Pelodiscus sinensis: one gene and its partner. The protein of the gene in region 1 purifies or fractionates together with the protein of each later gene. This does not show direct contact. Links are inferred from orthologs where the notes say so. Each region holds a gene or a part of one and is shown on either strand. Other genes may lie near its edges. The genes, in order: ASPH and LRRC59.

Region 1 (3,910 bases):
GGGGTTCTACAAAATTCTTTAAATTTTAAAAGAGTTCCTTGGCCAAATAAAATATGGAAACACTAGTTTCCACCATTCACAACTGAAGGGGATCCTATGTAAGCATACGGGCCAAGTCTTTTTTAAAATAAAAGGACAGATTTTACAGAGGTCAACTGCACACATGATTAAGGATATGAATGTGTAAACGGTTACATGTAGCCTCCTCCCCCCACACTGTATCAGATGCAGAGGCAGCAGCGTGTGGGGAAGATGTGGCTCCGTGGGAGCCAGTATGCACAGGGAGCTGTCTTTCGCACACCAGCTCCTAGGGAGCTGCCCAACTCCCCTCCCTCCCCCCATGTGTAAATGTGTATCTGCTGAAATTTTCAGCAGGTAAACATTTACCTAAATAAATGCATTTTAACATCCCTAATAAATATTTGGGAAAAGTTCTTACTCATCATAGGTAAATATGATCAAGAGTTTCAGGCTTTTTTAACTTGAAATGTTAAAACAAATTTGGAAGGTGTATTGGAGTTCTCTATAGTAGCCCAGATTCTATACAGGATGCATTTTTAATGTCTTGTTTTTCAAAAGACGCATTTTACAGAATTTAAAACTGAAATAAGCTCTTTCCTGTTGCTGTATGATTATTATAATAAACACCCATAATTCCCAGATCAATTGTTCAAGAGAAATTTAAGGGGCATACCAGCTGTTAACCTAATTAAACACTGTATAACTGTAAAACTTGTCTCACCAACAAAAGTTGGCCCAATAAAAGATATTACCTCAACCACATTGTTTCTTTAGAGTCATTTGAAACCACTGTACTCAATTATCAAAATGATCAATAAGTACAATGCCATATGTATAAACCTCTGATAGAGCACTGTAAGTTCTACTAGTACTATGCACATGGCTGAGATCACGTGATCAACCTTGTATCTATGCTAGTAGTGATAAATAAAACTGAAAAATTAGAAGTCCACAGAGCTAACAATGTATAGGCACAAAGCGTGCTCACCGTAAAGCTAACGAGATCAGCTCTTTACAACCTGTACAGTTATATAACTACCAGAAAGGCATTAATATACTTTCACCTGACATGTATTTTCCTCCCAGAAGTTTACTTTGTTTTATGTGAGTTTACTGTAAAAAATTATTAATTCTATTGTTAGTTTTGTTAACCCAGTTTCAAGTTGCTCATGTCTTACTTTCTGAAAATAAATCTTCCTTTATATCTGCACTTTCTAATTTACAGCTAATTAAAAAGCCTTCAGATTACTAGAGATAAAAACTTGACAGTTACGGTAACAAAAGAATATTTTGACATCAGTATTTTATACATGGTGGTATCAAGTCACTAAAAGCAGTCTTATTTTAAAAATATGCCAAAGTGCACTTTTTCACTCACTGCAACGCTCACTGTAAAGTTCTTTGCAAAAAGCAGCCTGCTTTTTATTCAGGAATTTAAGACACTCCTAGACTTGATTGTCTAAGACTTCTAAGTTTAAAATTACTGGGCTAAGCACACCTAGTAATACATGCAGCTCTACTCATGATTAATCCTCTGCAATGAGGAATTCCTCTGTTTGCTCAGCTACACGCTAAGCTTCTCCTCCACTTCAAACTCGAGCAAAAAGGGGAATAAATGAAATCTGAGTAACAGATTTAAACCATCTGTTCCGACCTCCCTTCCCTCCAAGCGCTGAGCTGACACGTAAACACATGGAGGAGGCTGAAGGTGACCAGGCAGTCAGAGGGAGGCAGATACACGCGCACAAACCCCGCCGGCGCTTTCCCGCACCCACCCGCCGCTTTCACCTCCTGCCCCCCGGGACTCCCGCACGAGCCCAGCGTGCAGCGAGGCCCGGCCACCGGAGCCAGACACTCAAGAGAGCGGCAACTTCGAAAACGCAGCGAGCGGCGCCCACAGTCCCGCGGGGCCCCAACATCCCCGCCCCGCCCACTCCCCGCGGGGCACCAGGGGCCGAGGCTGCTGCAGGCTCGACGGGCCCCCGCCGCCGGGCACTCGGGGAGCGGCATCCCCTTGCCCGGCGCACCCCGCCTGCGCTCCCAGGAGCCGCCCCGTCCCGCGGCTCTGCCCCCACAGCCTGCTGCTCAAGCCCAGCCCCGGCGCGGGACACGGGGCGGGGCTGCCGCGGCCGGGCGGGCGGCACTGACCTCTCCTGGGCCCCTGACTGGGGCTGCTGCCGCCACCGGTGCCTTTGGAGCTCTTGCGCGGAGCCATGTCACCGTCTGTCAGGTAGCGGAGGGGACTGCGCGCGCTCGCGAGGGGAGGAGCCGCTACCCGCCCAACCGACCCTACGTGAGCGGCGGGGCTGAGGCCAAAGGACCCACCCCCTTCGGAAGCCGATTGAGAGCCACCTCCACCAATCGCAGCGCTCTCGCCGGAAGGGGGCGGGGCATCGTGTGCGTTCTATTGGTACGGACAAAAGGATTGGGTGGGATGCGTTGCGCTTCTTTCTCCGTGCCGAAACCGGGCGCTTGGAACGTGGCAACATGGGAGCGCTCTCGCGAGGATTCAGCTTCCAACCCAGCAGGAGCGGCGCGCGCTGCCCCTGAGCGAGGGGCGCCCGTGGGCGGGGCGGCTTGGCCGAGTGTGGGGTAGCCAGGCTTCAGCTGCGTTGCTGAGTGAGCCGCCGTGCCTCAGTTTCCCTACCTCTAGTAACCAGTCCCAGGGGTGCTCAGTTAGCTGGGGTAAGGACGCTTGTGTTGGTGACACAGGAGCTATTGCAATTGGCTAATGCTGCTGTGCACCCACGGGAGGTGTACGCGGCAGGGCACGACCCAGGCAAGACACCTTACCTCAACCTAACTTTGGTAAAGGACCTGCAGGGCTACATCTACACTGGCAGCTTCTTGTGCAAAAACTCTTCCAGAAAAGAGCATCTACACTGGCATGTGCGTTTGTGTAAGAGCATCCATGCCAGTGTAGATGCTCTCTTGCACAAGAAAGCTCTGATGGCCATTTTAACCACAGAAATTCATGTTGCCTGTCTACACTGGCCTCTTCTGGAAGAGCTCTTGCGCAAGAGAGCTTATTCCTTAGCGGGAGCATGATAGTTCTTGCGCAAGAAGGCCTGATTTTATACATGAGAACGTCGATTTACTTGCGCAAGAACACATGGCCAGTGTAGATAGGCAGCAAGTTTTTGCGCAAGAGTAGCCGCTTTGGCACAAGATCGTGCCAGTGTAGACGCAGCCTTACATTTTGCTTTTGCCCATGTAACTGCCCCCCAAGCCTGACTGAATAGCCTCAACTCCACAGGCGGCATGGAGTCAAGGGCAATGTGCATAGGCTGAGGCAGAATCATTGTATGTGTTGCAGGCCAGTACGGCGGGAGGGGGGATTGAAAGATTGCAAAAGCAGCCCCCATGGTCCACCAAGTAAGCATGCTCCAGCCAGTTAGAGGAAGGCAGGAGCAAGGTAGGAGCAGCGTGCTGCTAGATCCTCCCTCCCCATGCTCTGGCAGGTCTGGAGAAGGCTGGGGCTGATTTCTCTGCTTACTTGGGGGAGTGTGGTGGTGCATTCACACCTTTGTGTTCCACGTTTACAAAAAAAAGCACTCCCACCCCCACAGAAATTCCTGCGTAGGGGCCTTGTTTGTAGTTCTAGGCTATAACCTGGGTGGGGCAAGCAGGGGGCTCAGCCACTGGCAATGTAAATAGGAATATGGGGAAGGAAAATGGTGGGAAACTAGCATAGGGACTGGCTCCACCTGTAATTTGGGGGTAATCAACCATTCCTTTCCAGCCCTGCCCCCACTTCATCCCTTCCTCTAAAATAGCACCTCTTCTCCAACTATGTCCTGCCCCCATTGCACCCTTCCTAAGCATCTGTCCCACTGCAGCAGCCGCTGTGTTCTGGCAGGTAGGAAGGAGGTGGAAGAGTTGGTCAGCA
Region 2 (3,910 bases), on another chromosome or scaffold:
TAAACAAGCCCAGTTCATGAAGCCTGGCTTCATAGGTCATGTTCTCTAAACCTTTGATCATTCTTGTCGCTCTTCTCTGTACCCTTTCCAATTTCTCCACATCTTTCTTGAAATGTGGCGCCCAGAACTGGACACAGTACTCCAGCTAACATAAGAAGCTAACATAACTGCTAGTTATCAAATTCCCACCTCATCCTCCCATGAAGGCTAGTATCCTTCTACAGATATTTTCAAGCAGATCCCACCCTCTTCCACAAAGCTTTTCTCTCCTCTTACCGGTAAGGAAGTGAGATTGTTACAGGACAAATCCAATATGGTAGCCTTTGGAAGGGCAGCCTGAAAAAGAGCCAAGGAACCAAATTAAACCTATATCAAAGCTACAAAAACAACAAGGAGTTCCGTGGCACCTTAAAGACTAATATATTTATTTGTGCATAAGCTTTCATGGGTAAAACCCACTTCATCAGATGCACTGGAGTAGAAATTACAGAGATAGGGATATATATGTACTAGTATAGGGAGTTACTTATCAAGAGTTTGACCAGTGACTGAATTGGGCTCATTAACACTGGTCTTACACTTGATAACTCCCTTCTTTTGATATACATGTATGATATTGAGATTATATATATATATATTATATCTGCTTTTCTAATTTAGTGGGTTTTACAAAAGCTTATGCCCAAATAAATCTGTTAGTCTTTAAAGTGCCACAGGACTCCTTGTTTTTGCAGATACAGACTAACACAGATACCTGAGACTTATCAAAGTTACAGTTCTTTAACATGTTTGATACTTTGCTGCTTATATTTAAGTTTTTTGGGATTTCTCCCATACATGGAGTTTTAAGAATTTCCCAGTTGCCACCATTCAAATTATTTTTGCAACTCTCTTACATCTCACTCAAAGTCAGGGTTTTATGAGCACTGCTCCCACTGAAATAGGTTCTTTCACCCAAAGCCTCCATTTAATACACAATCTGGATTAAACCAGATTAGATCAATAGGAACACACTTTTCTTCAGGTCACATCAATCCCCAAAGTCAAAACAACAGGAAAGATTCAAGGTTGCATATCCTTATCTTCCCTTTTTTCTTCAAACCAGGAGAAACAGTGTGAGTGTGCCTTTAAATACTGAATTGGCATTACCTTGAGCTGGTAAAAAACAAAATGTACACAGGGCCCAATGCATCCCCAGACCTCAACCCCACCCCTTCCTGGACCAATCTGTAATTCACAAAGACCAAGTGTAATCTCAAAAGCTCCCCTGCAATACCTTAAGGCTACATCTACACTGGCATGATTTTCCGGAAATGCTTAAAATGGAACAGTTTTCCGTTATAAGTATTTCCATAAAAAGCACGTCTACATTGGCAGGATGCTTTTCCGGAAAAACACTTTTTCTGGAAAAGCATCCGTGCCAATGTAGACATGCTTTTCCGCAAAAAAGCCCCAATCGTCATTTTCGCGATCGGGGCTTTTTTGCAGAAAAGAAATCTGTGCTGTCTACACTGGCCCTTTTCCGGAACAGTTTTCCGGAAAAGGACTTTTGCCCGAACGGGAGCAGCATAGTTTTTCCGGAAAAGCACTGATGATTTTACAGTAGATCGTCAGTGGTCTTCCAGAAATTCAAGGGGCCAGTGTAGACAGCTGGCAAGTTATTCCGGAAAAGCGGCTGATTTTCCGGAATAAGTGGCCAGTGTAGACACAGCCTAACACTTCCCAGAAAAGACTGATACTGACCAGCTCTTTGACTGGCACCTCATTCAGGTCACTCAGGCTCAAGTCCAGTTCATTGCCATCAAGTTTGTCTTTCAGGTTCACTCCTTTTCCTCCCGCTTTTGCCATGATCCTATTAACAGATAAAGAGTCGTAAGTAGCTCACCAAAGGGCCTCCTTTTTTGGGGGAAGGAAAAAAGATCAGGAATGGAAGAAGGGGCACCAAAAGAAATTGGCAAACCCCTAGATTTTCTTTTAAGCTGTATCTACCTAACAATTACAGCAGGAGTCTGGACAGCTGTTGTGCTCACCTTTTAAAGCCAGGGATATTTTGATCCCCTTTTAGATCTTGCTCTGGATGCCAGAGTGTTTGCCAGTTCAGGCTAACTGTGGACATGGTTTTTGCAACCTGTCTACCAGGAACTGGACTGACAGCCCATTTAGCAGAGGCTACTGAAAGGCCACCAAATGGGAACAACTATTAGTCTTTCCTTTTTACCAATTCAAGCTGAATATGGATTGTAAACCTATACCTGTGACACCTGATAGGCATCACCACCCTTCCAGGATTTTCTGGCTAAATGAGCAAGAATTTTATTTTCTTAGAAATAACCCAACCTCCTCCGATGCCCCTCATGCCAGCAGGACATCTAGGCACAGTGAGAACACTGTAAGGTATCTGTTTGTCCTACTACCAAGAGTAGAATTGATTGGGTTGTGGTGGGGGGAATCCAAGGGTCTTTTTGAAGAGAGCTCTCTGAAGGGCAGAAGTACAAGAGAGGATGGTGAATGGAGGGAGCAAATACGTAGAGGTGGAAGCGGAAATGCTGTTTAACAGCAGTGGCCCAGTTCCCGGACTCTGTCCCACCACATCTTGCTGTAGCTTTGGAATGTTTATTCCTTTGCATTCCAGTAAGGGAGAAAAAAAGCACAAAGGCAGAAGTGGGACATATCCCCTCTGCCCCAGCAAGCCACTAGAAAGAGTAGGCGACCCTGTCCCCCAGCAGCTCCATCTCCTGTGGGAACGCCCCAGCCCAGCCAAAGCTTCCCCGCAAGGGACCAAGGGAGCCTCAGACTGCCAGTCTCCCCAATACCCCCCGCACAGGGCCCCCCCTCTCCCCAATACCCCCCGCACAGGGCCCCCCCTCTCCCCAATACCCCCGGCACAGGGCCCCCCCTCTCCCCAATACCCCCGGCACAGGGCACCCCCCCATGTCCCCACACAGGGGGGCCCCCTCTCCCCAATACCCCCGTCCACCTCCGCACAGGGCCCCCCCTCTCCCCAATACCCCCCGCACAGGGCCCCCCCTCTCCCCAATACCCCCCGCACAGGGCCCCCCTCTCCCCAATACCCCCCGCACAGGACACCCCCCCATGTTCCCGCACAGGGCCCCCCCTCTCCCCAATACCCCCGCACAGGGCCCCCCCTCTCCCCAATACCCCCGGCACAGGGCCCCCCTCTCCCCAATACCCCCCGCACAGGACACCCCCCCATGTTCCCGCACAGGGCCCCCCCTCTCCCCAATACCCCCCGCACAGGGCCCCCCTCTCCCCAATACCCCCCGCACAGGACACCCCCCCATGTTCCCGCACAGGGCCCCCCCTCTCCCCAATACCCCCGGCACAGGGCACCCCCCCATGTCTCCGCACAGGGGCCTCTCTGCCCAATACCCTCCGGGCCGCCACCGAACCCACACACGGACGCCGGGCGCGGCCCAGAGCGGGCGGAGCGCCCCGGCCCAGGCCCGCACTCACCGCCCCGCCCCGCACTCGCCTCCACTGCCAGCCACTTCCGCATCCAACATCCACGTCTCGGCTCAGCCCGCCAGCGCCAACGAGCCGGCCCGCTGGCCAAGAGGGACCCGCGCTCAGGGCAGAGCGGCTCCTTCGGCAGGGCTAGCGCCTCCTAGCGGGGGGAGGAGGTGAACAAAAGGAAGGGGAAGGTGGGGGGGACAGAGGAGGCGGAGGGCGAGAGGGGAGGGTGAAGGCGGGAGGGGGGCGGAGGAGGCGGAGGGCGAGAGGGGAGAGGGGAGGGGGAAGGTGGAAGGGGGCAGAGGAGGCGGAGGGCGAGAGGGGAGGGGGAAGGCGGGAGGGGGGCGGAGGAGGCGGAGGGCGAGAGGGGAGGGTGAAGGTGGGAGGGGGCGGAGGAGGCGGAGGGCGAGAGGGGAGGGTGAAGGTGGGAGGGGGCGGA

Evidence for each region.
Region 2: the proteins of ASPH (region 1) and LRRC59 purify together in Homo sapiens (co-immunoprecipitation; 3 studies listed by BioGRID and IntAct, with this or other methods). This does not show direct contact. The link is inferred for Pelodiscus sinensis from reciprocal best matches to the Homo sapiens genes ASPH and LRRC59.

What each region holds. Positions count from the first base shown.
Region 1 is NC_134712.1:61,045,746-61,049,655, reverse strand, and holds the start of ASPH (aspartyl/asparaginyl beta-hydroxylase), read right to left. Parts: upstream 2,360-3,910; 5' UTR 2,237-2,359; coding exon 2,170-2,236; intron 1-2,169.
Region 2 is NC_134730.1:13,990,418-13,994,327, forward strand, and holds the start of LRRC59 (leucine-rich repeat-containing protein 59), read right to left. Parts: upstream 2,269-3,910; 5' UTR 2,117-2,268; coding exon 2,031-2,116; intron 1,853-2,030; coding exon 1,744-1,852; intron 337-1,743; coding exon 277-336; intron 1-276.